Linked DNA regions of Elephas maximus indicus. The protein of the gene in region 2 interacts with the protein of the main gene of each other region in a biochemical or structural test. Links are inferred from orthologs where the notes say so. Each region holds a gene or a part of one and is shown on either strand. Other genes may lie near its edges.

Region 1 (8,125 bases), on a different chromosome or scaffold from region 2:
ATCCCATATGTTATACTTACCAATTTAAAAGTGGAAGTAGGAAAGCACCCTCAATAAAATTGGTTTGCTAAAGTAGAATATTAAGGATGCGTTCCAAGATTTATTTTCTAAATGATCACAAAGGAGACTTTACAGCTGAGCAGTTTTGGTAAGAGGTTGGATTTTCCCTATTTTCCAGTAGGTTCACAGGTTGTCTGGATTTTCAGCAATCTTGCCAGAAAATATAGTTAAAAAACCAAAATCTAGAGCAGACTTAAAGGGATTTGGGTACAGTGAGTCAGTTCCTATTCTAATAGGAATGGTCTTCATTAAAATACCAGACATACCTACAGCTTTCTTTGGTATTTCTCTCAATGACCTCAGCCTAAGGGACACACCCTGGAGTGGGCTTTTTAGAAGCAACAGCTGAGCAGTGACCACTTACCTAAAAGTATAATCCTCTGTGAATATGTCCAGGAAGTCCTGCTTTTAGGGTACATATTTCCAATGAGTTGCAATTCACCAAATAGTCTCTTAGCAGTTCACAGGAAACTTGGGTATAAAACCTTCTCTCTGTTAACTCAACCAACCTTCCCTCTTTGTTACACCCGTAATGATTATATGGTCTGCCTCAATAATGCTACACAGGGTAATTATGAACAAGATCTAGAGTAAACACCACAATTCAGATTTTTCTTTATATACCACAGCAGAGAAGCACAATACATTATCACCAGCACCAACACCTCAACCCCAGCTGGCAGAAACTGAAGGCCGTAGAGAGTGGTTGCTAGTGGCGTGTAGAATGAGAAGTCTGAGCATCAACCTGGTGTCTTGACAAATATACTTCCTAATTTCTTTCCATGAAATTAAAAAAATAGAACCTTAATCATTGTGCCACCTCCCACTAAGGACAACCACCCACTCCTTGAATTACCTTCCTCCAGTTCATCCATGCTTCCGATCTTCCTGGATCCATCAATGGTGTATATGTAACGTACTCCCTGAGGCAGGTTGATGTTGTCGGACAGAGATCTAGTCAGGTCAGCCAGCAAGGCGTCGAAGCTGCGAAAACGGTCAGAGGATACAGCGTACACAATCCCCTTGAAGTAGCGGTCCCCATTGCGGTAGAAACGTACCTTCTTGGCTTTCTTCTCATTGCTCAGTGCCTGCAAGGTTCTGGTTCGGTAGAAGCTACAGTGGGCGCTGTGAGTGGGGCTGGGCAGCCCATTCATCCGTGAGCCTCGCATGTTCCTGGATGCCTTATCTCTTTCGTCAAAGTGTCCAAAATCAAGTTCCATATTTTGGTGGAACCTCAGAGACCTGAGTGTTGGAGAAAGGGGTTGGGGTGGGGGGTGGGTAAAGAGAGGCAAAGAAAAAGGGGTAAGGAAAAAAGGAGGGGGGAGGGATTTTAAATATTAGCCAGATCCAGATCCGCAACCTGCTGCCTGTGAAAAGACCTGGTTGAAAAAGCCCGTGACCCATCTGCTGCTTGCCACTGACCTGCAGGAATATTGATCTGAATAGAGAAGAAGGAGGGGCTGGGAGAGGCTGGGGGTGCTGGTAGTTGTGGGGGTTGGGGGTAAGAGATAGGGAGGGAGGCACGTTTGGCACTATTCCAAGCAGAGGGGAGGAGGGATTTTGGAATAGCTTAAAACCCTGGGACTTACTGACAGTGGCTCCTATCAAATTGTAACTTCAGGCTAAATGCATTAAAACTGGCATCTGTTTCCTCACACATGCCCACATGACTAACAGTTGTAAATGAATTCATAGCCTGACAAAATTCCCCTTGAAGACAACAGAAGGAACTAGCCAAGGTTAGCATCTCTAGCTTAGGAAGCAGTCTCTGCATCTCAGGACAATGACTATGAAGAGGAGCGCTTTAATTTTATTCCAAACCCTCTTTCCTACTCTAATGTGTGCATCCCCTCCCCCCAGAATAAACTAGGATTCTTGTTTAAAGGGACAGCCTCCAGGGAATAGCCAGCCTCTTTGTGCTATTCATCAAACCCTTTCCCTACCAAGCTGGTGCAGCTATCAGACATTCATAGAAATACGCTGAGAAAAAAAAAAAAAAAAGGATTAGAAAAATCAGTTATTTAATGAGTTATTAGCTCTGCTTTCCCCTTGGTACCATTTGGTCACAAAATCCTTTTCTTTTTTTTAGGTGCCCCATCCCCTCCCTAGCGCTGCATCCACGCCTCTTAATAGAATAATTTAATTGTTGAAAGACTCCCAAATGAGTCCCTGAATGACATATGAGACCTTTAGAAGCAAGCACACCTTTCATTGTTCTGTGTTTCTACCCCGACTGAAGAGGCATTTTGCCCTCACAGCAGGCAATTCACCCCAAACTTATCTATTGCCCAGGTGTGTTAACTGAGGCAGAAGATGGTCATTTGTCAGGCTTTGCTTTTTCCTTTACTGCTGAACCAAAAAAAAAAAAAAAAAAAATCAAAATATGAAACCAAATACAATCAAAGCCCCCAAATGCCAGCAAATGTAGTGACAACCTAGGAACCAAACTATGAACATGCATCTCACAGATGGGGATAAAAGGACTCACAAAGCAACCAGGGCTCAGCTGCTACACACTGCCACATGGAGATACTTGCAAGGGAACCAGGAGGATAGAAGATAAAGAGGGACTGGTGCCTAGTAGGTTTGCCAGGCTCAGTCCCTCTTTTCTTCCAATGTCACCATGACCTGTGCTGAGCTCAGCATTGTCTCTGTCAGACAACCTGCAGTGGTAAAAGACCCCACCTCCTCAAGACGAGTAGCAAGCATTTCCCCAGACATGCCAGTTCCGTTCTGCTTTGCTTTGCTTTAGAATCAGGGGTGGTATTATTTTAAATCAACATTACATTGAAAACAAAGAAATGTCAAACTCACTTTTCCAAAGGAAAATCCCAGGTAGAGATTTAGGACAAAATCCAACTGAATAAAGAAAAAAAGGAGAGAGAGAAAGACACACATACAGAGAGACAACTAGCTTTGCCTTGTGCTTTTCCCGTTTGACATCTGTTACATTCTGCCTGAAAATCACTCGAAAGCCCCACTCACCGGTTTTCTGCTGGTTGGGTGGAGATGCTGAGAGAAAGAAAACCAATCTCTCTATGCCTTTGTTGTCTGAGCTCCAAGCAAGAAATTCCTGCCAGGGTGGATAGATGCCTTCTAGGTCCTAGTGCCTTGTCCAGCTTCTCCCATGTAACTCAGGCTTAGTGAATCCCCCCAACCTCCTATGATTAATTACAGGCTTTTTTTTTCAAATCACAAGCTGCATTAACAGCTAGAAAGGTTTCATTTATAACCAAGAGGAAATTGCAGGGTAGCAAAAAGATTGCACAGGCAAGTTCAGAATGCTCTAATGAGCAATGTGCTAGCTCTTTCTTTTAGAGAATTGAAAAATTCACTTGGCCAAATCCTTGGCCTAATCAGCCTGGGGGCCAGATTCAGACAGCCAAAGCTGGATTCTAAGATTGTAGCTCTCTTCCTACCACTCCCTTGAGAGAAAACAATCAAATTTGCAAATTCTTTAAGACATTTTAGCTCATTCATCCAACAACTGGTTATTTTGTAAATGGAGGTAGTAGAGTATACTAAGAGGGAGCGGGAAAGGTGTAAGACAAGTGGAAAATAGTTCCAAATTTTCATGGAGAATGAGGTTGAAAAGGGCTCCAAAGATCTTTCAGCTGGGTGTAAGAATTTGGTTAATGGTATCTATGGCCTTTACCTCTAGTTTGGCAGTTCAAATCCAACTCAGAGACCTTTCTATGTAAAGAAGGTTTGATGGCATAAAAAAAAACATTAATAGATCTCTCCTCAAACTATTTGCCACTAATTGTCTTCTTTATCAAGTATGTTATTAAGAGCAAGGAAGCATCAAAACTGAACTCATTGGATCAGACCAAACTACAGGAAAAAGAAGAGAAAGGTGAGAAAGTAAAGGGCGAGTGGGCTCCATTCCATCTTTACAATTGAGGCTACATGAATTAATATGTAACAGTCTTGAACTAATTAATATGTAACAGTCATGATTCCATTTTTACCTGGCTTCCAGGAAGCTCAGCGCTAATAGCTTGTTCCTTAATTTTTTATATCTGATTCCTAGTATAATTAGCCCTCCCTTTTATATTTTTTTTTAGCTGTTGCTTTCTTCATATTTAAGTAATTTCTGCACATGTGTCTTACTGTAAGTTGTCTCAAAGTGAAATAAAAATATTAGTGTCTTCCTTCTCTGGAAAGTGTGGGTTCAGCAAAGCCTAAGCTATATATGTTAGTAAAACCTCAAATGCCCAGTCAAGTCCTCCCAACACCTTTCTACTGCTCTCCTGGTTCCTAAATAAGTGCATCAAAGGAGTGCATCTGTCTAATTTGTTCCCTTCCATGTGTTTCTACCTTACATTGTGGCGACCTCTTCATAAATCAGGGTTATTCTGATCAGAGGCAGAGAAATATCAAGGAATAGCAGCAGGGAAATGTGTAAAATTCCAAACAGTGGTAGACTAGCAGTTGCAATTTCATCGCCCAGTGAGACTAATGTCTCAAAACTTCTTTTTTCTTACATATCAGTGTGTTGTTGTTAGGTGCCATCAAGCCCATTATGACTCATAGTGACTCTATGTACAACAGAACGAAACGCTGCCCGGTTCTGCGCCATCCTTACAATCCTTGTTAGGCTTGAGCCCATTGTTGCAGCCACTGTGTCAATCCATCTTATCCAAGGTCTTCCTCTTTTTCGATGACCCTCTACTTTGCCAAGTGTGTTCTTCTGCAGGGACTGATCCCTCCTAATAACATGTCCAAATATGTGAGACGTAGTCTCTCCATCTTTGCTTCTAAGGAGCATCCTGGCTGTACATCTTCCAAGACAGATTAGTTTGTTCTTTTGGAAGGCCATGGTATATTCAAAACTCTTCACCAATGCCATTCAAAGGCATCAATTCTTCTTCAGTCTTCCTTATTCATCGTCCAGCTTTTGCATGCATATGAGGCGATTGAAAACACCATGGCTTGAGTCAGGTTCACCTTAGGCTTCAAGGTGACATCTTTCTTTTTTAACACTTTAAAGAAGCCTTTTGCAGCAGATTTGCCCAGTACTATGTGTCTTTTGATTTCTTGACTGCTTCTTCCATGGGTGTTGATTGTGGATCTAAGTAAAGTGAAAACTTTACTTGGTCAAAAACCTTTAAGAAAACTTTTAAGAAAAGATGGGCTAAACAAAGTTAAACAATTCTCTTTATCACAAGACTTCTCAGAGCCTTTAATATACTTATAATATGATACATGTCTCCAAGAAGACAATTTAGTATAAAGGGCTTCCCACTTTTTTTTTTCTAAATCATAGGTCCTTTACCCCAGCCCTGAGCATCCCATAGGCTAATACTCTGTAGAAAAGCTTTTACAAAATCTTGACTAGATCATCTCATAAATAAAGACATTTCTTTTCAAAGAATTCTAAGTTATTCACCAACATCTTCTTCCTCACTTTCTCAGAGGAGAAGGGCTACAGGCAGAATAGAAGATCTCAGGCATAAGTGGGAAACTGCATCTTTAAATATGGAAGTCACTGTTGAAGATCAAGGGATAGTCACAGAAGCAGGCTCAATAGAATGAAGAGATTGAAGGAAAAGCCCAGTAATCCTATTGTGAGTAATTTAGCAATAAGTCCCTTTGAGCAATTACCATGTGCCCAGTAATACAGGCACAGTGAGTGCAGAGTATGAGATATCCATCACTGCCCCTGAGGGGCTAAAAGACTCATCGAGGAAAAAGGGGCAAGAACATGCATCTTGCAAAAATCATGAAGAAGAAGGGCTTAGATTTTTCTTGATATACTACAATCTGGGTTAACCGAACTCAGCTTAAAGAACAGGTAAGGAAAAAAGACCATCCATCAAACAAGGAAGTAATCATTAGTTTATGGCACTTACCAGAAGCACAGAAAGCAGGATCTGTGGTGGAGTGGGGTAAACAGGAAGTGAGCTTGGAAAAAAATAAATATACATATATATGTTGTTTATAGAGGACACAAAACTATAAAGGACAAGAATAAATCCAAAAAATATGTCTAAGACCTTGATTGAGAAAATAAGGAAACTGTATAGGAGAACATAATAAGCAGTGAATAAATGTAGGGCCAGACCATGCTCATTGACATCGAGATGCAATATTGTAAGGGTATCAATCCTACCCAAATGAAACTATATGTATGAAGAATTTCCAGTAAAAACTCTAACAGAAATTTTTGTGAAACCTGAAAAACTGATTCTAAAACATTTATGGAAGAACATAAAGCTCTAAAATACCTAAGACAATGATGAAAAAGAAGAATTGCAAGGGGAGCTTTGGCCTACCCAAATTTATTATAAAGCTATAGTAATGAAGACAATGTGGTGTTAGCCTCGGGGACAAAGATCAATGGAACAAAAGAGATCCTAGAAAGAGATATCAGCCTAAATGGGACCTTGGCAAATAATAGTGTAGTAGTGAGAACACAGATTCTGGATCCAGACTGCTTGGGTTAAATTCTGACTCTACTAGTTATCAGCTTGTAACCTTAGGTGAGTTACTTAACCTCCCTGTACCTCAGTTTCCTGTCACATGGGGGTGATGATAAAAGTACCTGTATCAGTTGTATTGAATGAATTATTACATGTAAAATGTTTAGAACAGACCATGGCACATAGTGTATATGATGTAAGTATTAGTTTTTATTATCCTCCAGATTTTCACATGACTAACTCCTTTTCTTTCAAGGCTTTGCTCAAATGTCAACTTCTCAATGAAACCAACCCAAACCACTCTATTAGAAGTTACAACCTGCCCCCCAAAAATCCATCACTCACAATTTCCTTTGCTCTATCCTTTCTCTAACACTTGTCATCTCCCAACATATTATATAATATACCTATTTATTATCTATCTCCCCAAAGTAGAATATAAGTTATATGAGGGCAGGTATATTTTAACAGCTTTAATGACATGTAATTCTTTTACCATATAATTCACCCACAGGAATATTTTAATTTGTCTTATAATGCTGTATTCTAAGTGCCTAGGACAATGTCTGGTATATAATAGGTGCTCGTTGGATCATTTGTTGAATTGACTAGAATAAGGAAAGCATGCAGTATTCAATATATGGGATTGGTACAATGAGGGTTTTCAAAATCAAAAAAATTAAATTAGATTCCTACATTTATTCACTGCTTAATATGTTCTCCAATATAGTTTTCTGATTTTTTCAATAAAGGTCTTACACACATTTTTTGGATTTATTCTTAGTACCTTATAATTTTGTGCCCTCTGTAAACTTTTTTGTAAACTACATGTATATGTATATTTATTAAATACACAAAATTTGCATATTAAATACACAAAGATCAATTTCAGATGTTTTAAAGACCTGAATGTAAAAAACAGAACCTTAAAAATTTTAACAGTAAAATGGAAGAGAGTGTCTTTGTTTTTTAATGTTCATCATAGCTTCATTTGTAAAAGCCAAAAACTGGGAAAAAGCCAAATGTCTATCAAGAGATGAATGGGTAAACATATTGTGGTATATCCATACAATGGAATACTATTCTGCAACAAAAGGGATGAACTTTTTTTCCCAAATTTTAAAAATTTTTCTGGTAATATATTACAAAACATTTGCCATTTTAACTATTTTTAAGTGGACAATTTGGTGACATTAATTACATTCACCATATTGTACAACCATCGCCACTATTTTTAAATGTTTTCACCCCCCTAAACAGAACCTCAGTACCCCTTAAGTAATAATTTCCATTTCCCTTTCCCCCCAGCCCCTTTTAGCTCCATGCATTCCCCTATTCTAAGTATTTCGTATTTATGCCTAGTCTCAAGATAGGTGATCCAACCAAATGTGGAAATTATCAAACAATATCATTAATATTACACACAATTAAAATTTTGCTGAAGTTCATTCAAAAGCATCTGTGGCAGTATATCCACAGGGAACTGCCAGAAATTCAGCCCAGATTCAGAAGAGGACGTGGAACCAGGGATATCATTTCTGATGTCAGATGGATCCTGGCTGAAAGCAGAGAATACCAGAAGGATGTTTACCTGCGTTTTATTGACTATGCAAAGGCATTTGAGTGTGTGGATCATTAAC
Region 2 (7,433 bases):
ACCTTATCTTAAGCTCCTGATCAAGTAATAATCTACTGAAAAATCATACTTTTAGGTACACTTTTATAGCTACAGACAGCAGTGATAGGAATATGTCAGATACATAATACAGTGAACTATCATTTCTAACCTCTCTCATTCTTCGCCATATATGAGCCCTTCCACTTTTTAATCACATTAAAAAACTATGAAAATGTAAAAAAATGTAAGAATATTGACATTCATAAATGCTCATCAAAGTCACATTTATCACATGAATTTGAAATTCTTTTGAAGATGTCCTTTCACGTGAGTGCTTGACACAAGACGTTAAAGTGACCTACCCTCTCATGCTAGTACCTTACAAAAAGGCCCCTTTCAAGGCCACCCAAGAAAAAAGGTTTAAATAAACGACTTTTAATGCAAATTTTCTTATCCTTTTTTCTCATCTTTGATGCTCATTATTTAAAAATCACAAATATTTACTGTTTCAACACAAACTAAAGTAAAAGAAAACATCTGTAGCATCCTTATTAGATTTTCAAAATATTTCTATTATTATTTGTATCCAAGTATTTCTGGCATTAATTTACACTTAGTTGACTTAAACAATAAAATTAACAAGAGTGTATATATATAGCCAGAAAATAAGTGTCTGCTTTAGAGCTGGGACACTGCTTTGTACCCAAATCATTCAACACCCACCCTTGCAAAAAAGGGGGAAATTTAAAACAAGAGGATTTTAAGACTTACTACAGAGAAACGCCTTTGTTGTAGCACGAATTAGCATGAAATAACATAAGCAAGAGAAAAATGCTATTGAAAGGGCAAGCTAGCATTTCACAGCTTTTGCTCTCTTACTCCACCCAGTCTTCTCCTCTCAATGGCTGTTCACAGCATCCATAAATATTAGCCAATTTTTTTTAAAAGGAGGTGGGGGCAGCACCAAACTAGAGCCTGCTCCATCAAAATCAACATGTGCAGAAATATTTTACGTGAAAAATTGAGTTCCTTACTCTGATTCAAAAAAATACATACCAACCTTCAAATCTGTTTTAGGAGATCCCCTCCCTTTCTGAACAATCCAAACAATGATCATTTATAATAGGACATGAAAAAATATATCACTCTACAGATTACTCTTCTGCTTTAATAAAAACTGCAATTTGCAACTAACAATTATTTTGCAAAACTGTCCTAAATGACACCAATTAGGGATTAAAGGCTAGCTAAAGCCTTAGAACCAAACCGGAATTTTTTTTCAATAAAGGCTAAGTAAAAGCTTTTTATATATATAGCCAACATTATAGCACTATCACCATAACCAAGCAGGAAATTTTCCTGATAAGGGATTGGACCCTGCAGCAATCAAGCCCTGCTGCAGCAAAAAAAAAAAAAATCTAAGCAAACACTACTGTAGCAAAAGGGAAGGGATGACATCCTCACTGGTATGAAAGGCCCAAGCACTATCTCCTCCACCCTAGCCTCAAAATGAAATTCACACAAAACAATTCACCCTCCAACAGAAATAGTATTATAAAATGGCTTTTTTTTTTTTTTGCTTAATCTTTAAAACACTATGAATCTCGGGGATTGTGTACCTAAAGTAGAGATCAGAATAACAATATCTTTATTCTCTTCCAATTGCCTCGTAAGGAAAAGGGAGAGGGGGAGGGCTTGGCATGACATCGCCCATTGAGAAGGAGACCACAAATCTGGTCCTTCTCTTCAAAAGCACAATTTCTTAACCAAAGGGTTGGTATAAATTGGAGGCAAACCCCAGCCTCAAAAGACAATTTCCTACTCTCCTTCCAAGGAGTTTCTTGCTAAGTCACTGAAAAAAAAAAAAAGGCAAAATAAGAAATAAAGCCGAGGCACCTAGCGCTCTCCTATCTCGATACAGAAAACCTCCTCTCTACGTTCATGTTTAGAGAGGTAGTTAAGAGTTAAAATCTGCCTACCACCTCAAAGGCATTTTTTCTCACCTGGGAGGCTAGAGGAGGTATACGGGTACTGCGTTTCCTAAAGGTGTAGGGAGATTAGATGAAGGGGAACGGATGAGGGCCTTGAAGCTCAGTGTCAGAACGTCAAAGGGCAGCTCCCGCTTGAGGAGCCGGTGGCAGGAGGAAAATCCTGCCCGGCCGTGGACAGATACTGCGGATGGGTCGCTGGGTCGGGTCGCTCCCCCTCAGTGGGGGCCGAGGGTGGACCACCGCAGAGGGGACCAGGAAGGGGGCGGCCCACCCTCCTCAGGTCAACCCCATCCTAAGGACAGGTGGGGGACGGAACGCCTGAAAGGCCCTGTGGCCGCCAAGGCGGCGCGGGGCTGAGCCTGGTCCCCGAGCCGCCGACCGCGGATGGGGTGGGGACTGCGGCGCTCGCCTTCCGCGGCCGGGGAGGGAAGAGCCGAACCTTCTTCCCAAGATCAGAAAGCGACCTGCTCCCCACGCCCTTCCTAGCCCAGAATACTTTTCTTGCTAAGTCACCAGGGGAGGAGGACGATCTTTTCTCGGGAAGGGCTGCGGGCGGAGTCCCGGCGGCCCCGGCACCCCCGAACCCGGGCAGGAGAACAGGGCAGCGAGGCCAGCGCCCTTCCCGGCCTGTCCCCCCTCCTCCCGTGTCTCTCACTCAACGGCCGTCGCGGCCGCCATTTTGAGAGCGAGGAGAGAAGAAGAAGGAGGAGGCGGCGGCAGGGGGAGGGGAGAATGGGAGGGAGGGGACCGGCGCAGCCACATCGTCAGGCCGCCGGGCCCGGCCCGCAGCAGCCCGAGCGTGGTAGAGAAGACAGAGAGGAGGGCGCAGACCCTCGCCGCCTTACCGGAGCGCTGCACCGCCGCCTCCGCAGGGCCTCTTCCGTCCTTCACTCCCATCCACCGGCAGGGGAGGGGGGAGGGAGAGGGAAGGGAGGAAGGAGGGAGGGAGGGAAGGAGGGAGGGGGAGGATGGCGCGCTGGGCCCGGTCCCGGGGAGGGGGAGGGGAGGGGAGCGGACGGGCTCCGCTGCCGTTCCGGGGCTCGAGCGCAAGTCCGGCGCTCGCGGTTTCTCTCGCTCGCGCCCGAGCGTTCCCCTCCTTCTCTCTCTCGCTCCTAGACCCCGGGTCGCTGCTCGTTCGCTCGCTCCCTCGCTATCTCGGCCGCCGGAGTCCGCCGCCGCCCCGCCGCTCCAGCTCCGTCTGTCACAGGAGCTGCCCCAACGCCCTGACGTCACCGCGCCGCCGCCGCCGCCCCAGACCCGCCGGGAAGAGGGAGGGGAGGGGGCCGGGAGCGGAGGAGGGGCTGCGGCGCATGCGCCAGGCTCGACTATGGCCGGGCCCTGAGCGGCGCCGCCTTACGCTTAGCGGACGCTGGTGGCTGTGGCGGATGCGGCTTGGCGGCGCCCAGGGTCTGGTGGACGAGTTTGCCTACCGGGCGCTCCTTCCCTCCTCCTCACGCCACCGTAACCTTGGAAAAAGGCTCCTGGCTCCCTTTTCCTAAACCCTCCTCTGACTGTTCTGGCCCCTCACAAATTCTGGTTTTGCTCACCTCCCCGCCTTGTTTTTGCCCGCATCCGGCGCTCTTGCTGCTTCTGCCGGCCAACAGCATCCGAGGATTCCCGGCTCCGATAGACTCGGGATTAAGGAAACCCGGGCCTAAGCTGCCGGTCCTTCTACCTCCTGCCTCCGGGCCTATTTCCCAATTAGGAAAAAAAAAGAAAGGCGGGGGGGAGTGAGACTGGGTTGGCTACGGAGGAAGAGGTGTTAAGGTTAAAAGGCAGATGGATGCCTAATTGTCTTCATTGTTTTTACAGACTTCTAATTGCGAGAATTCGCTTTTAGATGTGATTCAGCTATTCTTTTCCTTAGTCACACAGACACTTCAGAGACTTCTCAAAGTCTTGAAACTGGTGGAAGCCCAAAGAAAGACCTGGAACTTCATCGTGTGTGTGTGTTTGCTAAATTGTGAGGTGAAATATTGACGACAAAAAAGTCTTGGGGATTTGTAGTCAATTTATTCCACACAGAAACACTTAATTTAAAAATTAAAAGAGACAAAGTTTGGAGTTTCTCAGTCATGGGATATTTTCTAAATGAGAGGCATCTAGTGTGATTATCTCATCATTAATTTGTAATATCCAAGGGAACTCCCTAAAACATAGGGTTATGCTTATGTTTATTGAATTTATTACTTCCCTTTGTAGTTGCCTTTTATGTTGGTAAATAATACACAGGTACTGCTTTTGAGAGGCGACAGGGTTAATGGCAGAGAGACAACTTGGGTGTGAATCCTGGATCAGCCACTTACCTAGAGTGTGACCTTGGGTAAATTACTATACCTCTCTTTGACTTTGGTTTCTCTATCTATAAAATAAGCCTAGTAACTAACTTGTAAGAATCCAGTGAGAATTAGAGAGGAGATGCTGTGTGTATAAAGTATCCCACCTTAATGGGGTCTCTGTGGTAACTCGTTTAACCAGTACTGTCGCTGTTGATACCATAACAAGTTTCCTTTTATCAAGAGAGGTTGTAAGTCTCTATTCTTGGAGGTGTTGAACAACGAATGCTCTGAAAAATTAGCAAAATTGCCCAGAAAGAATTCAGCATCACATTGACAAACACTGATTTAATACATATAGTTCTAACCCATATAAGCCTTGCGCTTACGCTTTTAGGTTCTGTCAAGTCTGTTCCAACTCAAAGCGACCCTGTATACAAAAAAACAAAACATTGCCCTGTCCTGCATCAGCCTCACAAATTGTTGCTGTATATGAGCCCACCGTTGCAGCCACTGTGTCAGTCTACCTCTTGAGGGCCTTCCTCTTTTTCACTGACCCTCTACCAGGCACGATGTCTTTCTCCAGGGACAGATCCCTCCTGACAACATGTCCAAAGTATGTGAGATACAGTCTCGTCATCCTTGCTTCTAAGGAGCATTCTGGCTGTACTTCTTTCAAGACAGATTTGTTTGTTCTTCTGGCAGTCCCTGGTATATTCAATATTCTTCGCCAACACCGTAATCCAAATACATCAATTCTTCTTTGGTCTTCCTTATTCATTGTCCAGCTTTCACATGTGTATGAGGCGATTGAAAATGCCATGGCTTGGGTCAGGTGCACCGTTGTCTTCAAAGTGACATCTTTACTTTTTAACACTTTAAAGAGCTCTTTTGCAGCAGATTTGCCAAATCTGCTCATAGACTTGTGTATATAGGAAACTTTAAAATTTGTATTATGTAATTATGCAATAAACTGAGATCAGATTTTATTTCCATAGCAATCATTAAAAAAACAATAAACTCATTTTGGAAGAAAGTATAAAAACTTTCTCCCTGGATTGCGATTTTTCTGAACAGAAATAAAACTGGATTATGTGCTTAACTTGATATGCAGAGCTGTATTATGGTTCTATGCAGTTTTTTTTATTCAGTTGCTAAGATGATAGATCCATCTTAATAAACACTTGTCTACTGAGAATGGAGAATTAGGACATCTATGCTATCAATCAAAATCCATAAAGACTTACACAGAACCTACTATATCCATCCAGGAAGCATTTAATAATGGTTATTTTAGATGATGTTTCTTGAAAAAAAATTAAGTATAAACATCCATTTTACTTACCACAGTCTAATGATCTCCCCCTTCATTTGAATTTCAAATCTTTATTTTTTTCCAGCAGACATTTTCAAAATGGAAACATTCATTCCAATTGCCGCAGTAAAATCAGTTTAAACAATTCTGCAAATAAGCTGACTGGAAGAAACTCCAAAAATATTACTATTGGAGAGAGGACAAAAATGTCTTTTAAAAGTCTCCGGAGCAAAAAAAAAAAAAAAATCTGTTTACAATGAGCACAAATGTTAAAACATTGTTTTAATTAAACTGCCCTATGTGGCATTGGGTATGTAGTTTATGCCCATAGAAGCAGTAGTCAAGAAATCAAACAGCGGGGGTCTTAAACGTTAGCAAGTGGCCATCTAAGATGCATCAATTGGTCTCAACCCACCTGGAGCAAAGGAGAATGAAGAACACCAAAGACAGGGTAATTATGAGCCCAAGAGACAGAAAGGGCCACATAAACCAGAGACTACATCAGCCTGAGACCAGAAGAACTAGATGGTGCCTGGCTACAACCGGATGACTGCCCTGACAGGTAACACAACAGAGAACCGCTGAGGGAGCAGAAGAGCAGCGGGATGCAGACCCCAGATTCTCATAAAAAGACCAGACTTAATGGTCTGACTAAGACTAGAAGGACCCCGGTAATTATGGTCCCCAGACCTTCTGTTAGCCCAAGACAGGAACCATTCCCAAAGCCAACTCTTCAGACAGGGATTGGACTGGACAATGGGATAGAAAATGATACTGGTGAAAAATGAGCTTCTTGGATCAAGTAGACACATGAGACTATGTTGGCATCTCCCATCTGGAGGGGAGATGAGAGGGCAGAGGGCGTCAGAAGCTGGCAGAACAGACACAAAAAGAGAGACTGGAGGGAAGGAGTGTGCTGTCTCATTAGGGGGAGAGCAATTAGGAGTATATAGCAAGGTGTATATAAATTTTTTTATGAGAGACTGACTAGATTTGTAAACTTTCACTTAAAGCACAATAAAAAAAGAAATGAAACAACATATTGCATTGGGCAAATCTGCTGCAAAAGACCTCTTTAGAGTGTTAGAAAGCAAAGGTGTCACTTTGAGGACTAAGGTGTACCTGACCCAAGCCATGGTATTTTCAATTGGCTCGTTTGCATGCGAAAGCTGGACGATGAATAAGGAAGACTGAAAAAGAGTCAACGCATTTGAACTATAGTGTTGGTGAAGGATATTGAATTGAATACACCATGGACTCCCGAAAGAATAAACAAATCTGCTTTGGAAGAAGTACAGCCAGAATGCTCCTTAGAAGTGAGAATGGCAAGACTGACTCTCTTTGGACATATTATTAGGAGGTACTGGTCCCTGGAGAAGGACATCGTGCTTGGTAAAATGGAAGGTCAGCAAAAAAGAGGGTTCAATGAAAAAGAGGAAGACCCTCAACAAGATGGATTGACACAGTGGCTGCAAAAATGGGCTCAAACATCGCAATTGTTGTGAGAATGGCACAGAACCCTCAGCATTTCATTCTGTTGTACATAGGGTTGCTATGAGTTGCAGCCTAACAACAATAATGACATGTAGTTTACAGGCAGATGTACATAGCTGTATGTGCATATTTGATAGGAAGCAATTAGCATATGTAAGAAGATAGCTTTCAGGCATACAAGTTGTGTGAATTGAAGTCTCATTTGAAGTCTCAGGACCCAACTGGCAAAGGACATATTAAAAGAAACTGACTCTAGGAGATTCTACCTAATTAGTTTACCTGTATTTCCCCAAAGCATGGACATGTCAATGAGAGCAGGTCCAACTGGACCAGTCATTCTTCATGTCAGCATCATGCCATCCTCATGTGTCATGAACATTGGGAGGCCATAGAAAC
Region 3 (7,457 bases), on a different chromosome or scaffold from region 2:
GTCTAGGAGGGAGCTTGGGACTTAACTCTCTCACCTTGGAGCCTCTCAACTGAGACATCTCCCTCCTCCAGTTCCCTTAGTCACTCCCACCAGGAAGCTTACTCTAACTTTGGACCATCTGGGAGGTCTCACTTCTTGTGTGTGTTTACATGTAGCCTGAGGATGTGAAACATTCAGTTCTCTGTATCCAGAGCTTAAAATGTCTGGGCCCAACCTTCCTCTCCAGAAAAATAAAAAAAAACCCATCAGTAGTGCTGGCTAAACTACCAGGGCAGAACTGGGGCGGGGGGGGGGGGGGGGGGGCACGGGGGGGCGCAAATGAAACCACTTAAAAGAAGGTCAAGACCAGCTGACTCTGGTTGGGTTACCAGTGTAGCCAGGTGATTAAGAGCATGGTGTCATGGATTGAATTATGTCCCCCCAAAAATATCTGTCGACTTGGCTAGGTCATGATTCCCTTATATGGTTGTATGATTGTCTATCATTTTATCTTCTGATGTGATTTCTACGTTGTAAATTCTATCACTATGATGTAATAAGATGTATTTGTGGTAGTTATACTGACAAGGTCTACAAGATTAAACAGTGTCTTAAGCCAATCTCTTTTGAGATATAAAAGAGAGAAGCAAGCAGAGAGACAGGGCGACCTCATACCACCAAGAATGCAGTGCCAGGAGCAGTGCGCATCCTTTGGACCTGAGGTTCCTGTGCTGAGATGCCCCTGGCCAAGGGAAGGCTGATGACAAGGACCTTCGTCCAGAGCCGAAAGAGAGAGAAACCCTTCCCCTGGAGCTGGTGCCCTGAATTCAGACTTCTAGCCTACTGGACTGTGAGAGAATAAACTTCTCTTTGTTAAAGCCACCCTGGTGTGATATTTCTGTCATAGCAGCACTAGATGACTAAGACACGTGGGTTTTAGTTTCAGACTGATACTTATCAGCTGTGTGACCTTGGGGAAGTTTCTTAACTCTGTAAAACAGGAATAGCAGCAGGACCCATTTCTGGGCACCTTGTGAGGAATAAATGAGGTAATGAAGGTAAGGCCCTTAGCAGTAAATGGCACAGCACAACAGACCCACTGCTAAAGGATGAACCCCTAACAGCAGGAACGACTAACTTAGCCTGTCTACATCCCCAATGTCTGGCACCATATCAGGCTCAGAGTATATGCTCAGTAAAATATTTGTTGAATGAACAGATCTAATGGTGATCTAGAGTTAGCACATTCAAGCCATTTTACTCGCCCAAGGGTTCTAAATCTGATGCTAGAATTTACCTCAATAATTTCAATAGGGAACTGAAACTTCTAGACATGTTATCTCATACTCATACTTGAGGGCAGTGGGTGGGTGGTAGACATGTTATCAATTCTCTCAAAAATGAACTCTCTCAAACCTGGTATTGTGTCAACAATTTAGGGGAACAGGGGGAGGGGGAGCCTTTTCACACTTGCAAATTAGTAACACCCCCCACACCTCAAAGGGCTTGGGAGCCCTTGGTCACAACAGGCACCTGAGTGAAAGAATGGAAATGGATAGGTCAATGAAAACTTGTCCCCACTGAGGAAGAAAATCAGCAAAAGGACTGTGGAAAGTACAACGGCCTACGGAGTCTGGTCTCGCGGAGGTCAGGAGTCACTGGGTCTCCATTTCTTTATTTATAAAATGAAGCTTTGGACTGATTTTAACAACTGTTCTACCTCTAACTTTCCAGATTTCTGCTTCAAAAAACCAACTCAAGAATCTACACTAGTTGATCCTTACCATTCACAGACTACATGTTATTATTGCGGGGTCGCTCAGCATGCTTTATGCTTTTTAAAAAAGCTCTTTGTAAGCTCTTTCAGGGCAAGGACAAGTTTCTGCTCACCTCCGTATCCCCGGGACCCAGCCCAATGAGTCCAAAAAAAGTGTCTTAAAAAAAAAAAAAAAAACTCATTCACAGAGTGGATTCAGACCCATCGTGACCCTACAGGACAGAGTAGAACTGCCCCCATAGGGTTTCCAAGAAGCAGCTGGTAGATACGAACTGCTGACCTTTTGGTTAGCAGCTGAGCTTTTAAGCACTGTGCCACCAGGGCTCCAGTGAGTGTCTGACAGACGTTATTCACCAAACACTGGCTGAATGAACAAGCCTGATTATTTATAACTCCTCACTGCTCTTCAAGATACCACTCTCCTACAACGATTCAGGAAAACAGGGATTTGCAGCTCCATTTTAAGAGATAAGAAAAATGCGGCTTGGAAAGGTGGGACGGTCCCAAGCTTCCCAGGTAGTGGAAATCAACTGCGAGAACAAGCCTCCTACTCCCCCATTCACACCCTGAAAAACCACGTGCTAACATCATCGCTCCACACACACCCCGCACACACTCATCGACTCACTACAAGTTGTGGTAGATGCAAATGAGAGTCTGGCATGGCTCGTCGTAAGGGATGCTCTCTGGAAGCAGCCACCTATGGGGTACCGGGGCTGGAAGCATGTGTAAGACCAAGGGCATATACCAAGGCTCTGGGGGAAGAATCTGAAAGGGTCGGGTCAGGAATGCCACGTTTACTTTGTTAGAAGTTACTGAAGGGCGCCATGGGGCCGGGATTGACACCCGAGGAGTGGGACACGCTGGCTGGGAGGCCAGACCGGAAGCTCAAGAGCGGTGGGAATGTCGGAGGGTGGGGGTCCCGGAAGCGAGTGAGGCCCGGAGGAAGCTCTCGGGCCTCGAGGGCAGAGAAGGGCTGAGAGAGCGTGGCTAGGGCCGCCTGAATGGGCCAGCACCGCCGGACCAGGCCGGGCCGACGCCGCGCGGGCGGTTACCTCCTGCACGCCGCCCTCGTGCTGCTGCGCCATGGCCAGCAGCATGCCGTCGAACCGCTCCTCTTCCTGCTCCCCTCCCATCGCGCCTGTCCCTTTCCGCGCTAAGAAATCCGCGCTCAGCACTGTCGCCCGCCGATCCACGCTCCTCCTGGTCGCCTCGGGCCCAACGGCTCCACTCCGCCTTCCGCAGCGGAGCAGGAAATACGCACTTGCCACACGCCCCGGCCCGCCTTCTCCCCTTCCCTTCCCGCCTTCCTCCGCTCTCTCGGCCATTGACTGCGCATGAAGCAGCCCGCTTCGCCGACCATTGGTCGGCTTTCTGAGCCTATCAATAAGCGAATCCAAGAAGTGGTGGGCGGAGCCCAGAGTTGGGGAGCTTGGCGTGAGTTGCTATGGTCACCAGATGCTTTGGAGCCTTCCAGAAAGCCTTGGGCTCAAATATGGGGGGGTTGGAAGTGAAAAAGGCACAAACTTTGGTCCTTTGCCTTGTTCCCTACTTGTAGAACGGTGGAGCTGAGATGAAAGTGCCCTTATCATCTCTTCCAACCCTTCCATGAGGCAATTGAGACCCAGAAAAAAGAAACTTGCCCAAACGACAGCCTACTTCTGTCATCATCACATACTTGACCAAGGCTGGCTTCATGAGCAGCCAAAGCCGCACAGGGTCCCAGGTCTGAAAAGCCTCGCACTTGGTTTGATGCTCTGCTGGCACAGTCTTGAAATTCTTAATGATTTTTTAATAAGTGGTTCTACCTTTTCATTTCGGACTCCGTGATCATGGAACCGGCCCTTTAGTCTACTTTGACTCCTGTTAATGTGAGGGACAGGTCCCAGTCACCTAAGGCCAGTCCCTCTACTAATGCAATGAATTTCACCATCTTAGTCTTCTCAGGGATCCTAACCCTGCAATTATCCTTTTTTTTTTTTTTTTAATCTCCTGCATCACAAATTTCTTTTGGATCATTCCCATCAATTTACAAACATGCTTTAGTATCTTTTTTTTAATAGTCTGTGCACTGAGTTTCTGATCCAGTTACCTCCCCACTTTTTAGCTCTTATTCACAGCAAAGCTTTTTTAGAAGTTTGCTATACTTGTTTCTCTACTTCCTCAACTCCCATTGGTCTTCAACTTATTCTAATTAGTCTGTTCTTAAGAGGTTTGATGAAGATCAGATGGCCTACACATTGTCAAAGTCAATGGACCACTATTATCTTACTTGACCTCTCAGCTGCATTTGACACAGTTGACCCCTTCTTTCTTCTGAAAATTCTTTTTTTCTTTAGGCTTCTGTGTCACCACAGGGACCTGGTTTTCTTTCCACCTCTCTAACACTCTCTCAGTGTCTTGTGCTGCGCAGACTTGTAAATATTGGAGGTTCTAGCCACTGCTCTCTCCTCTATTCTTATCTATACTCTCTCCTTAGGTGATCTCACTGAATGCAATGGTTATAATTACCAACTACATGCTAATGAAGCCCAAATTGACATCTCTGACCCAAACCTCTTGTGAGCTCCAGGCTCGTCTATTGGACTGCCACCTGGACACCTCCATTGGAGTTAGTAGGTATCTCAGAACTAACATGGCCAACATTAATACTCCCCCTTTGTTGTTGTGGAGCCTTGGTGGTGCAGTGGTTTATAACTACGACTGCTAAGCAAAAGGCCGGCAGTTCAAATCCACCAGCCGCTCCTTGGAAACCCTATGGGGCAGTTGTAGTCTGTGCTATAGGGTTGGTATGAGTTGGATTTGACTTCACGGCAGCGGGCCTTGTTCATGTTGTTGTATGCCATTGGATAGACACAACAAATTAATTCTTCCCAAAATCTTCCCCATTGACTTAAGTGCCCCATTCAAGCACTCATTTGCCAAAGGCAAAACCTCCACCCATTTTCTCAAGCCCAATGCTAAACTAAAATGGTGACCCTATGTATTCCAGAGTAGAATTGTGCTCCCTAGGGTTTTCAAGACTGACTTTTCTGAAGCGGATTGCCAGGCCTTTCTTCCAAGGTGCCTCTGGGTAGGTTCGAACCACCAACCTTTTGGTTAGTAGTTGAGCACTTAACCATTTGTGTCACTCAGAGACTCCAGCCAAGTTCTAGACTCATTTATTAGTACTGTCTGTCTCTCCCCAAAATACATCCTGATTCTGTTGCCTTCTCACCATCTCTGCTGCTGCCACATCAGCCTAAGCCAGTACATCTCTTATTTGGACAGCTACTCCTGTGGCTTCCTAACTGGTCCCCTTACTACTTTTCTTGTCCCTTTTAATAATCCATCCCCCACCCAGCAGCCAGAGCAATCCTTCTAAGATGTAAAACGTATCTTGTTACTCCCTTGCTTAAAATTAGCCCTTTAGTGGATAGCCATAGCATTCAGGATTAATTCCAAACTCTCAAGCACGACCTCTAAGGAGCAACACCATCAGGGCCCTGGCTACCTCGCCAGTCTCATTTTGTCCCAAGCCCACCTTTACTCACCAGGCTCCCTCTTCAATGGCTTCTTTCAGTTCCTAAAATGTCCTGTCCTGATTCCTAAGCCTTTGCCAGCCAACTCATTATTATCCATCAGGTCTCAGTCCAAATGCTACTTCCTCTGCGAAGTCTTTATTAATCCTGATATATAGATTAAATGTCCATGACTTTTGCTTACAATGCTCCTATGATGTAAATGCTCTTATCATTCCCATTTAGAGGGTGAGATATAGGGACAGAGAGGTCACGTGCTCAAGGTCACATATCTGGAAGGGAGAGCCAGGATCCAAACCCAGGCAGCCTGGCCCCAGAGCCGACACACTTACCCATTTCGTCTTAGAGTTCTGCCTCCCTAAATTGGCATTCTGACTTTATAAGTCAATTCCCATCACTGTTTTATGTGACTCCTCCCTGAGAAACCAGCCCTGATCTTAGACCCAGAAGAATTCACCTAGATGATAAACTTTGCCCAAGATGGCGTCTAGATGACCAGTCAGCCTCCTCTAATGACCTCTGACCATATCAATGTTTGAACACTACCACCAGCAGTTAAGTGTGTAAGTACAGCACTGTCTTAATTATCTAGTGCTGCTGTAACAGAAATACCACAATTGGATGACTTCAACAAACAAATTTATTCTCTCACAGTCTACGAGGCTAGAAGTCTGAATTCGGGCTCCAGCTCCCCAGGAAGGCTTTCTCTCTCTGTCAGTTCTGGGAGAAGTTCCTTGTCATCAATCTTCCCCTGGTCCAGGAGCTTCTTTGCGCAGGGACCCCAGGTCCAAAGAACATGTGCTGCTCCTGGCACTTCTTTCTGGATGGTATGAAGTCTCACTCCTCTTTGCTAGCTTCTCTGTTTTATATCTCAAAAGAGATTGACTCAAGATACAGCATAATCCTGTAGATTCTGTCTTACCTTATTAACATAACTGCCTCTAATGCTTCCTCATTCACATCGTAAAGGTTAGGATTTATACAACACACAGGATAATCACATCAGATTCCAAAATGGTGGACAACCACACAATACTGGGACTCATGGCCTAGGCAAGCTGACACATTTTTTTGGGAACACAATTCAATGCATAACAAGCACTGTGAGCTAAATGCTATATTAGGAGTGTGGATTAGATGACCTGGGAACTCAGAGATGGAGCAATTTATGCTGCTGGAGAGGTGGAGAGGGAAAGGCGGGAAGGCTGTGGACAGTAACACTGAGTTAGACCAAGAAGGGTGACCAGGAGCTTACCAAACAGACTGGGCAAGGGAAAGGCATCCCAGGCAGGAGGAACAGCATGAACAAGATCTTTGAGGCATGAAGGTGCATGACGCGTTCCAGGAATGAGAAGTTGCCTAGTGCTGGCTATCTCCCAGTTCCAAGCCTAAAGCCAGGCCCTCTGCACTCCAGATCTCCCAGCCGCACCTCCACCAGTCTGAGGCCTCTGTACACACCAAGAGCAAACATGTGCACCCTGGTCATGGGACTGTAAAGCATTTTCAAACACCTTATCTCATTGGTCTCTCTTTAATTTTACAGATAATATGCAGCCCCGTGCCTGGCACAGGTGCTCAATAAGTGGCAGTCATTACAATTATTAGAATGATGATTGTTGCTCCTGCTTGAATAGTCACACCTTAACCCCATTGTTATGTGAGGACTAACTGAGATAATTGTGAAAGTGCTTTAGAAATGTAAAGTACTGTACAGACGAGAGAATATTATCATTAACTTTTCCTTCAGAAAAAGGAAAAAAGAAAAAAAACTGTTGAGTCAATTTCAATACATGGTGACCCCATGTGTGTCAGAGTAGAACTGTGCTCCACAGGGTTTTCTTTCTGTCTTTGTATTTGGACATTTTATTGTTGCTTAGGTGAAAGCTTACAGAGCGAATTAGTTTCCCATTCAACAATTTGTACACAGCTTGTCTTGTGGCATCGGTTGCAAACCCCTGAATGTGTCAGTACTCTCCCCACTTCCTCCCTGGCTTCTCCGTGTCCATCCACCCAGCTTTCCTGCCCCTACTTCCTTCTGAACTTTGCTTTTGGGCAAATGCTGCCCTTTAGATCTCACAGATAGTTGATTGTTCTGAGGTGTATATGCCTCAGGGCATTCATTTTATAGACCTGTCTATTGTATGGCTATAATGTGATCTCCGAGAGTGATTTCAACTCGA
Region 4 (7,277 bases), about 6.9 Mb from region 2:
GAACCCTAAAAAGGAGACTTGAAGGTACTAGCCACGTCAGAAGGCAGGGTGGGGTGGGGCTAAAAACAGGAAGCTCAGTTGAAAGTCAGATGTGTTTACAAAGCAGATAGGGACTTACTTTACAGCCAAAATAATCGGCAAGCAAAGGCAATTACCCCTGTCCCAGTCCAGAAAGCACATCCTGGAGAAACTCCAGAACCCCAGAGGTAAAGAGAAAATCCTAAAAACTTCCATAGAGATAAAACCAGGCCATATACAAAGGATTAGGAATCAGAATAGACTTCTCAAAAATAAACTAGAAACTCACAAAGACAATGGAGCATTGCTTTTAAAATTCTGAGAGAAATTAAAACATAAAATAATACTTGTGAAGAGTTTGTTTCTTAGTTCAAGCAGATACATGAGACCAAATAAGCAGGTCCTGTCCAGAGGCAGGATGAGAAGGCAGGAAGGGACAGGAACTCGTTGAATAGACACAAGAAACCCAGGATGGAAAGGGGGAGCATGCTGTCACATTATAGGGATTGCAACTGATGTCACATAGCAATACACATATAAATTTTTGTATGAGAAATTAACTGGAGTTGTAAACTTTCACCTAAAGCACAATAAGAAAAATGAGAGGGTAAGCCCAAAAGTCCCACAGTCAAATGACAGGAGTTCCAGAAAAACAGAACAGAGACAATAAAGGGGAAGAAATTATTTTTTAAATACTAATAACCAAGAACTTTTCCCAGAATTGAATGACATGAGTATCTATATTGAAAAGGTCTCCCAAGTGTCCAGCACAATGAATGACAAAACACACACGCAAAGTACGCCCTGATAAAATTCCAGAGCCCCAGAAATGAAGAGAAAATCCTAAAAACCACCATTGAGATAAAATCCAGGCCACATATGAAGGATTAGGAATCAGAACAGACTTCTCAAAAATAGACTAGAAGCTTAAAGACAATGGAGCATTGCCTTTAAAATTCTGAGAGAAAATTTATTTCCAACTCAGTATTCTAAACCTTAGCTAGACTCTTAATAGAATAAAGGCATTTTTTTCAGTCAGAATCTGAAAAAAATTACCTCCTATGTATTGGAAGATGTGTGACACCAAAATGAGGTAGTAAATGAAGAGGAAAATGTAGGATGCAGAGCGCAGAAGATTCTAGGACGATGCTAAGGGATTTCCCAGGACAACACTATGCAGTAGGCCTAGAGAACAACCAATTCAGATTAGAGCAATAGCATGAGGCTTCAGGAAGGTGTCTGTAAGGAATTTTTTAAAAAAGGAAAAAATATAGAAACTGATAGATCTGATCATATTGAGAGCCATCAGTGATATATACATATGTAAAGACTAAGCAAATGAAAAACTGAGGCAATTATCAACTCCAGGGAAAACAAAGAGTTGTCAAAGAAAGGAAACAATAATAATATACTATATAACTCAGAAGATAACTTTTACATAGTCATAACAACATACATAATGTAAATGTGAATATCGATTTAACCAAAATTTGTGATATAAATATATTAGAAGGATAGAGAAGCAATAATGTGGAGATAGGGTGGAGTAAGAGTGCTACATTCATAGGTTTCATAATAAGAAGTCAATAAATTATTAATGAAAGATAATGACTAAAATAAAAAAATAGCCATATAGGCAACTCACCTGGAAATAGAAGTAACTGTAAGAATTGAAAGTGTTTCTCTCTGGTAGGGAGAACGTTGAAGAGGGGAGATAGGGCAAGGAATAGCTATTTTTCATTGAAAGCTTTGTGTTGCTTTAATAAAAGTAGATACTAAATTTTAAATAATAAAATAGTATGACTTTTCCTAGGGGAATCCAGACAAATGAATCAAAACTATAAATGAACATATAACCTTTCATCCAGCAATTCAAGTTCTAAGAATTTATTCTAAGGAAATAATGGAACTAGTGCAAAGATATAAAGTAAAGCAGATGGTCAGTGAAAACAGAAAACCCTCAGTCAGATGGATTGACACAATACCCGTAACAATCATACCAACATTCGTAAAGATGGCGCGGGACCGGGCAGCATTTCATTCTGTTACTTGTAATGTCTCCGTGAGTCAGTGCAGACTTGACGACAACTAACAATTCACTACAGCATTGTTTATTATTATAGCAACAAGTTGAAATGATTAAATACCCATCAATAGATAGCAGACTGATTTAATAATCCATGGTACAGCCACACAATGGAACAAAACACAGCTGTTAAGAAGGACAAGGTAAATGCCCATGAATTAACATGAGATGATATTCAAGAGATATTATTAAGTGGAAAAAGGTTTCAGGACAGTAAGTAAACTTAGACATAAAAAAAAAAAAAACTAGTTCTAAAAGTGTAGAAGTCTATGCACCAATGTATTAATAGCAGCAATCTCTGGGGATGGGATTATGTGACGATTTTCATTTTCTCTGCATTGTTTGATTTTTTCCAGCTGTCATATATTACCAGGAAAAAATACACCTAGTTCCATTTAGAAAATAAAAGTAACCCCAAACCCTGAAGAATACAATCCTAAAGTTCATGAAACACTTTCACAATCATTGCCCCACTTCGGTATCACAGAAAATAGGGACATTTTGCCATTTTGTAGAGGAGAAACCAGGCTCAGTGGAGAAGCCCCTAATGTGGTCAGCTCAGTTCTATTTCAGTGCGTCACACTGAAGGTGTCCAGTCAGCACCAGATAAACCTGTCTCAACACACGGAGCTCCCTCTGCAATCCAGAAAAGCACTACCTGGCCGGTCCAGGAAACAGAAAACCAAAGCAAGGGGATCCGAATCTTTGGGAGATGTGGGCAGACCAGGTGGTTTCAGAATGCCACCAAAGCAAACCCCTTGTTTCACCCCCACGAGGACATAACTAACATCGCAGGGCAAAAACTAACCTCAGCCTTCGACCATCCCACCCCCACAAAAGCAGAGGGGGTCCTCAGACCACCAGGAGCCTCCTTCCCTGGTGTCTCTTAGGCTGGCCTTCACCTGGCCCAGAACTTCTCCAATGAGACCTCCCACTCCCCATCATCCCAGTGTACCTGGTTCTGTGTCCCAGGTGTCCGCTGATTGCATCGACGGCAGCACACAGGGGCCCACCCTGGACCAGATAAAACAAAGTAGCAGTCAACAGGAAGGGTGAAGATCACCATCTGACAAAAGAGGCGCAAGAACAGGAAGTGGGTTACGACCAGGAAGACTGGGGCCACCCTGCCATCTAGAAGCGAGGCAACCCTGTCAGACTTATTGCTCAGCTGAGGTTGAGCAAGTCTTCAGTGTTTGGGGAGGAAAAAAAAAAAAGCCCTAACTCCTTAGCCGGTGTCCTTGGGTGGTGCAAACGGTTAACACACTCAGCTGCTAACAGAAAGGTTGGAGGTTCAAGTCCCCCCAGAGGCGCATGAATCTATTCCCAAAAAATCAGCTGTTGATAACTCTGTGGAGGTATCTCTACTCTGACACATATGGGGTCGCCATGAGTTCAGATTGACTCAATGGCAACTGGTGTGTGTGTGAACTTCTTAGCCAGGCCTTCAAGGTCCCCTGTTTCCACTGCAGGCATGTAGCCCACTGCTCTTCTAGACAAATGTTCTGTCCTCTCCCCATCCCACCCCCACTTTCCTGCTTCTGTCCCTGTATTTGGAGGGTGCAGGCAAGGGGAAGAAAAAAAGCTTATTGAGGGTAATTGATAAGCAGACATCACCCTTGTTTTTATCCCCAAGGGGGCCCAGCTCAGAACTAGGCATAGTACATGATGTGGTACATAACAGCATGAACTTCAAGTCAGATAGACTTGACCTGCCGCTTTTAGTTGTGAGACCAAGAGCAAGCTGCTTGTCATCCCTGAGTCTCATTTTCCCCGTCTATAAAATGGAGATAATACCAGATGATACCTCTTAGCATTGTTGTAGGACTTAAATGAGAAAATGTGTGTAATTGGCTTGGTACAGATCCAATTAGTCCCTTTTAGCTGTTAGTGGTTGTCCCCTGCCTTTCCAAATTCGACCCACTTTTAAGTCTTTACCAGATCAGAAAACTTTAGCCTGAAGTCACCTAACACTTCTCACCTCTCCAAAAACTGTAGGTTTCATCTGTTAATGAGTCTCATCCTGGTAGCATAGTGATTAAAGCACTCGGTTCCTAACCAAAAGGTCTTCGGTTTGAACCCACCACCAGGTCCATAGGAGAAAGATGTGGCAGTCTGTTTCTGCAAAGATTTACAGCCTTGGAAACCCTATGGAGCAGTTCTGCTCTGTCCTATAGTGTCTCTGTGAGTCAGAATTGACTCAATGGCAGTGGGTTTAGCTTTAGAGAAGAAGCACCATTGTTAAGAGCTGCTACCGAGGTCCTTCATTAATCATTACTTTGCCATGATGATGTTTTTTTCTCCCCAAGATCACTCTGTGAGGGTAGGGACTGCACAGGTTTCCCTCTGTGTCCCCAGGAGCCTCCAGCAGAGCACCGGAAGTTAGTCCATAAATATCCGTGGACTTCAGAGATAGTAAGGAAACAAAGCACGCAGGTAAACTCAGCTGCGGAAGCCACAGCCGTGGGGCTGATGTTTTGCACGCTGTGCAAATGCTTTGCATGAGGGCAGTGCCAGGGCCAGAGAACCCTTAGTTGTTCTCAGCTGCTCTGAAAATTCCCTAATACCCACAGGGATGTGGAATGCGGGAGTGTGCTAAAAGCCACAGCTCTATCTGCCTGGAAGTCCTGCTCCCACCCATCCCACACATCTCTAGAAGGAAGCTTGCTGAGCCTGCAGCATCCTTACCCAGTTTCCCTTGAGTAGATTCCTACTCATGGCAACCCCATGTGTCCCCAAGGAGAACTGTACTCCATAAGGTTTTCAATGGCAGATTTTTAGGAAGAAGATTGTCCAGTCTTTCTTCTGAGGTATTTCTGGATGGGCTCAAACCTCCAAACTTTTGGTTAGCAGCCCAGTGCATTACCTATTTGCACCACCCAGGGACTCCATAGCATCCTTACATCTCCCTTGAAAGCAGCCCTGAGGTTAGCCACCTGCTGATAGGAGACCTATCCTCCTGGTTCTCTGTCCTCACCTTCCTGACCCTCTTCTTAGACTATGGACATTCTGATAGCTAGGATGGCACCCTCTTCTCTCTCTCTCTCTTTTTTTTTTTAAAAATTGTGGTGAAAACATACACCCCAAAATGTCCACCAAAACAACAACTTCCACATTTGCAACTCGGTGACACTGATTACATTTTTCATGTTCTGCCACCGTTATCGCTATCCTCATCCAAAACATTCCACCATCATTAACATAAATTCATTGCCCCCTGTCTTAGTTATCTAGCACTGCTACAACAGAAACACCCCAAGTGGATGACTTTAAACAGAAATCTGCTTTCTCGCAGTTAAGGAAGCTAGCAGTCCAAGTTCAGGTCACCAGCTCCAGGGGAAGGCTTTCCCTCTGTGTCGGCTCAGTGGAAAGATCCTTGTCATTTTTCAGTTTCTCTTTCTTTGCTTCTTGGAGATCTCATATGGCATGGCGTCTGTCTTCCTCCATCTGTGCTTGCCTGCCTAGTTGCTTGCTCAATCTGCTCTTTCATATCTCAGGACATTGAATTAAGACACATCCTATACTAATACTTTCTCCTTAACATAACAAAGAAAACTCATTCCCAAATGGAACTATATCCACAAGTATGTTGTTGTTGTTAGTTGCTGTCCAGTCAGTTTGGACTCATAGCGACCCTGTGTACAACAGAACAAAACACTGCCTGGTCCTGTGTTATCTTCACAATCGTTGTTATGCTTGAGTCCATTATCGCAACCACTGTGTCAATCCATCTCATTGGAGGTCTTCCTCTATTTCGCTGACCCACTACGTTACCAAGCATGATGCCCTTCTGCAGGGACTGTTCCCTCCTGATAACATGTCCAAAGTATGTGAGATCCTTGCTTCTAAGGAGCGTTCTGATTGTACTTCTTCCAGGACAGATATGTTCACTCTTTTGGCAGTCCATGGTATATTCAATATTCTTTGCCACAAGCATACGGATTAGAATTTACAGCATATATTTTGAGGGACACAACTCAACCCATAACAGCCCCCAAAACAAAAACTCCCTCTTTCCCCTTAGTAACCATTAATAATCTTTGGTTTCTAGATATCTGCTTATTTCATATAAATGAGATTAGGTACAATTTGTCCTTTTGCAGCTGACTTATTTGGTTCAGGATAACATTTTCAAAGGTTCATCCATGTTGTGGCATACGTCAGAACTTCCTCTCTCTTTACGGCTGCGTAATAGTCCTTTGTACGTATACTATCACATTTTGCTTATCCATTCACCTGTTGATGTCCCTTTCTGTTGTTTCCACCTTTTGGTAACTGCGAAAAGTGTTACGATGAACACTGGTGTGCAGGTTTTTGTTTGCATTCCTGCCTTCACTTCTTCTGGATACATACTTAGGACTGGGATTGCTGGGTTACGTGGTAATTCTACGCTCAGCTTTTTGAGGAACCACCAAACTGTTTTTTCACAGTGGTTGCACAATTTTACATTCCCACCAACAATAGATGAGGGTTCCAGTTTCTCCACAACCTTGTCAACACTTCTTGTTTTCCTTTTTTTTTTTCTAATGAGGGTGAGATGAAATCCATTATGGTTTTGATTTGCATTTCCCTAGTGGCTAATGATGTCGAGCATCTTTTCATGTGCTTGTTGATCATTTAGAAACCCTGGTGGCATAGTGGTTAAGAGCTACGGCTGCTAACCAAAAGGTCAGCAGTTTGAATCCACCAGGTGCTCTTTGGAAACCCTACGGGGCAGTTCTACTCTGTCCTGTAGGGTCACTATGAGTCGGAATTGACTTGACGGCAATGGGTTTTTTGTGGGGGTTGATCTTTTGAATATCCTCTTTAGTGAACTGCCTGTTCAAGTTCTTTGCCCATTTTTTTATTGGGTTGCTTGTCTTTTTGTTGTTAAGTTGTAGCAGTTTTACATACATTTTGGATGTTTGGCCAAGATGGAAACTGAGCCCTGGTGGCAGAGTGGTTAAGCACCTGACTGCTAACTGAAAGGTCAGCAGTTTGAATCCACAAGTGGCTCCACAGGAGAAAGATGTGGCAGTCTGTTTCTGTAAAGATTATTGCTTTGGAAGGCCTATGGGGCAGTTCCACTCTGTCCTGTAGTATAGGGTCGCTATGAGTCAGAATCAACTAGACAGCAATGGATTTGGTTTTTAGGCTAAGATGAAATCTTCTTAAGAACGGCCTCACAATCTTATGC

Evidence for each region.
Region 1: the proteins of PAFAH1B1 (region 2) and DCX form a complex in vitro, tested with the Homo sapiens proteins (2 studies listed by BioGRID). The link is inferred for Elephas maximus indicus from reciprocal best matches to the Homo sapiens genes PAFAH1B1 and DCX.
Region 3: the proteins of PAFAH1B1 (region 2) and NUDC form a complex in vitro, tested with the Homo sapiens proteins (3 studies listed by BioGRID). The link is inferred for Elephas maximus indicus from reciprocal best matches to the Homo sapiens genes PAFAH1B1 and NUDC.
Region 4: the proteins of PAFAH1B1 (region 2) and NDEL1 form a complex in vitro, tested with the Homo sapiens proteins (3 studies listed by BioGRID). The link is inferred for Elephas maximus indicus from reciprocal best matches to the Homo sapiens genes PAFAH1B1 and NDEL1.

The regions. Positions count from the first base shown.
Region 1 is NC_064846.1:46,102,198-46,110,322, reverse strand, and holds the start of DCX (neuronal migration protein doublecortin), read right to left. Parts: upstream 3,065-8,125; 5' UTR 3,046-3,064; intron 1,303-3,045; 5' UTR 1,281-1,302; coding exon 917-1,280; intron 1-916. UniProt on the Homo sapiens protein: Microtubule-associated protein required for initial steps of neuronal dispersion and cortex lamination during cerebral cortex development. May act by competing with the putative neuronal protein kinase DCLK1 in binding to a target protein.
Region 2 is NC_064837.1:19,204,589-19,212,021, forward strand, and holds the start of PAFAH1B1 (platelet-activating factor acetylhydrolase IB subunit beta), read right to left. Parts: upstream 3,177-7,433; 5' UTR 2,798-3,176; intron 1-2,797. UniProt on the Homo sapiens protein: Regulatory subunit (beta subunit) of the cytosolic type I platelet-activating factor (PAF) acetylhydrolase (PAF-AH (I)), an enzyme that catalyzes the hydrolyze of the acetyl group at the sn-2 position of PAF and its analogs and participates in PAF inactivation.
Region 3 is NC_064821.1:67,363,120-67,370,576, reverse strand, and holds the start of NUDC (nuclear migration protein nudC), read right to left. Parts: upstream 3,004-7,457; 5' UTR 2,893-3,003; coding exon 2,812-2,892; intron 1-2,811. UniProt on the Homo sapiens protein: Plays a role in neurogenesis and neuronal migration. Necessary for correct formation of mitotic spindles and chromosome separation during mitosis. Necessary for cytokinesis and cell proliferation.
Region 4 is NC_064837.1:12,341,065-12,348,341, forward strand, and holds the start of NDEL1 (nuclear distribution protein nudE-like 1), read right to left. Parts: upstream 3,164-7,277; 5' UTR 3,060-3,163; intron 1-3,059. UniProt on the Homo sapiens protein: Required for organization of the cellular microtubule array and microtubule anchoring at the centrosome. May regulate microtubule organization at least in part by targeting the microtubule severing protein KATNA1 to the centrosome.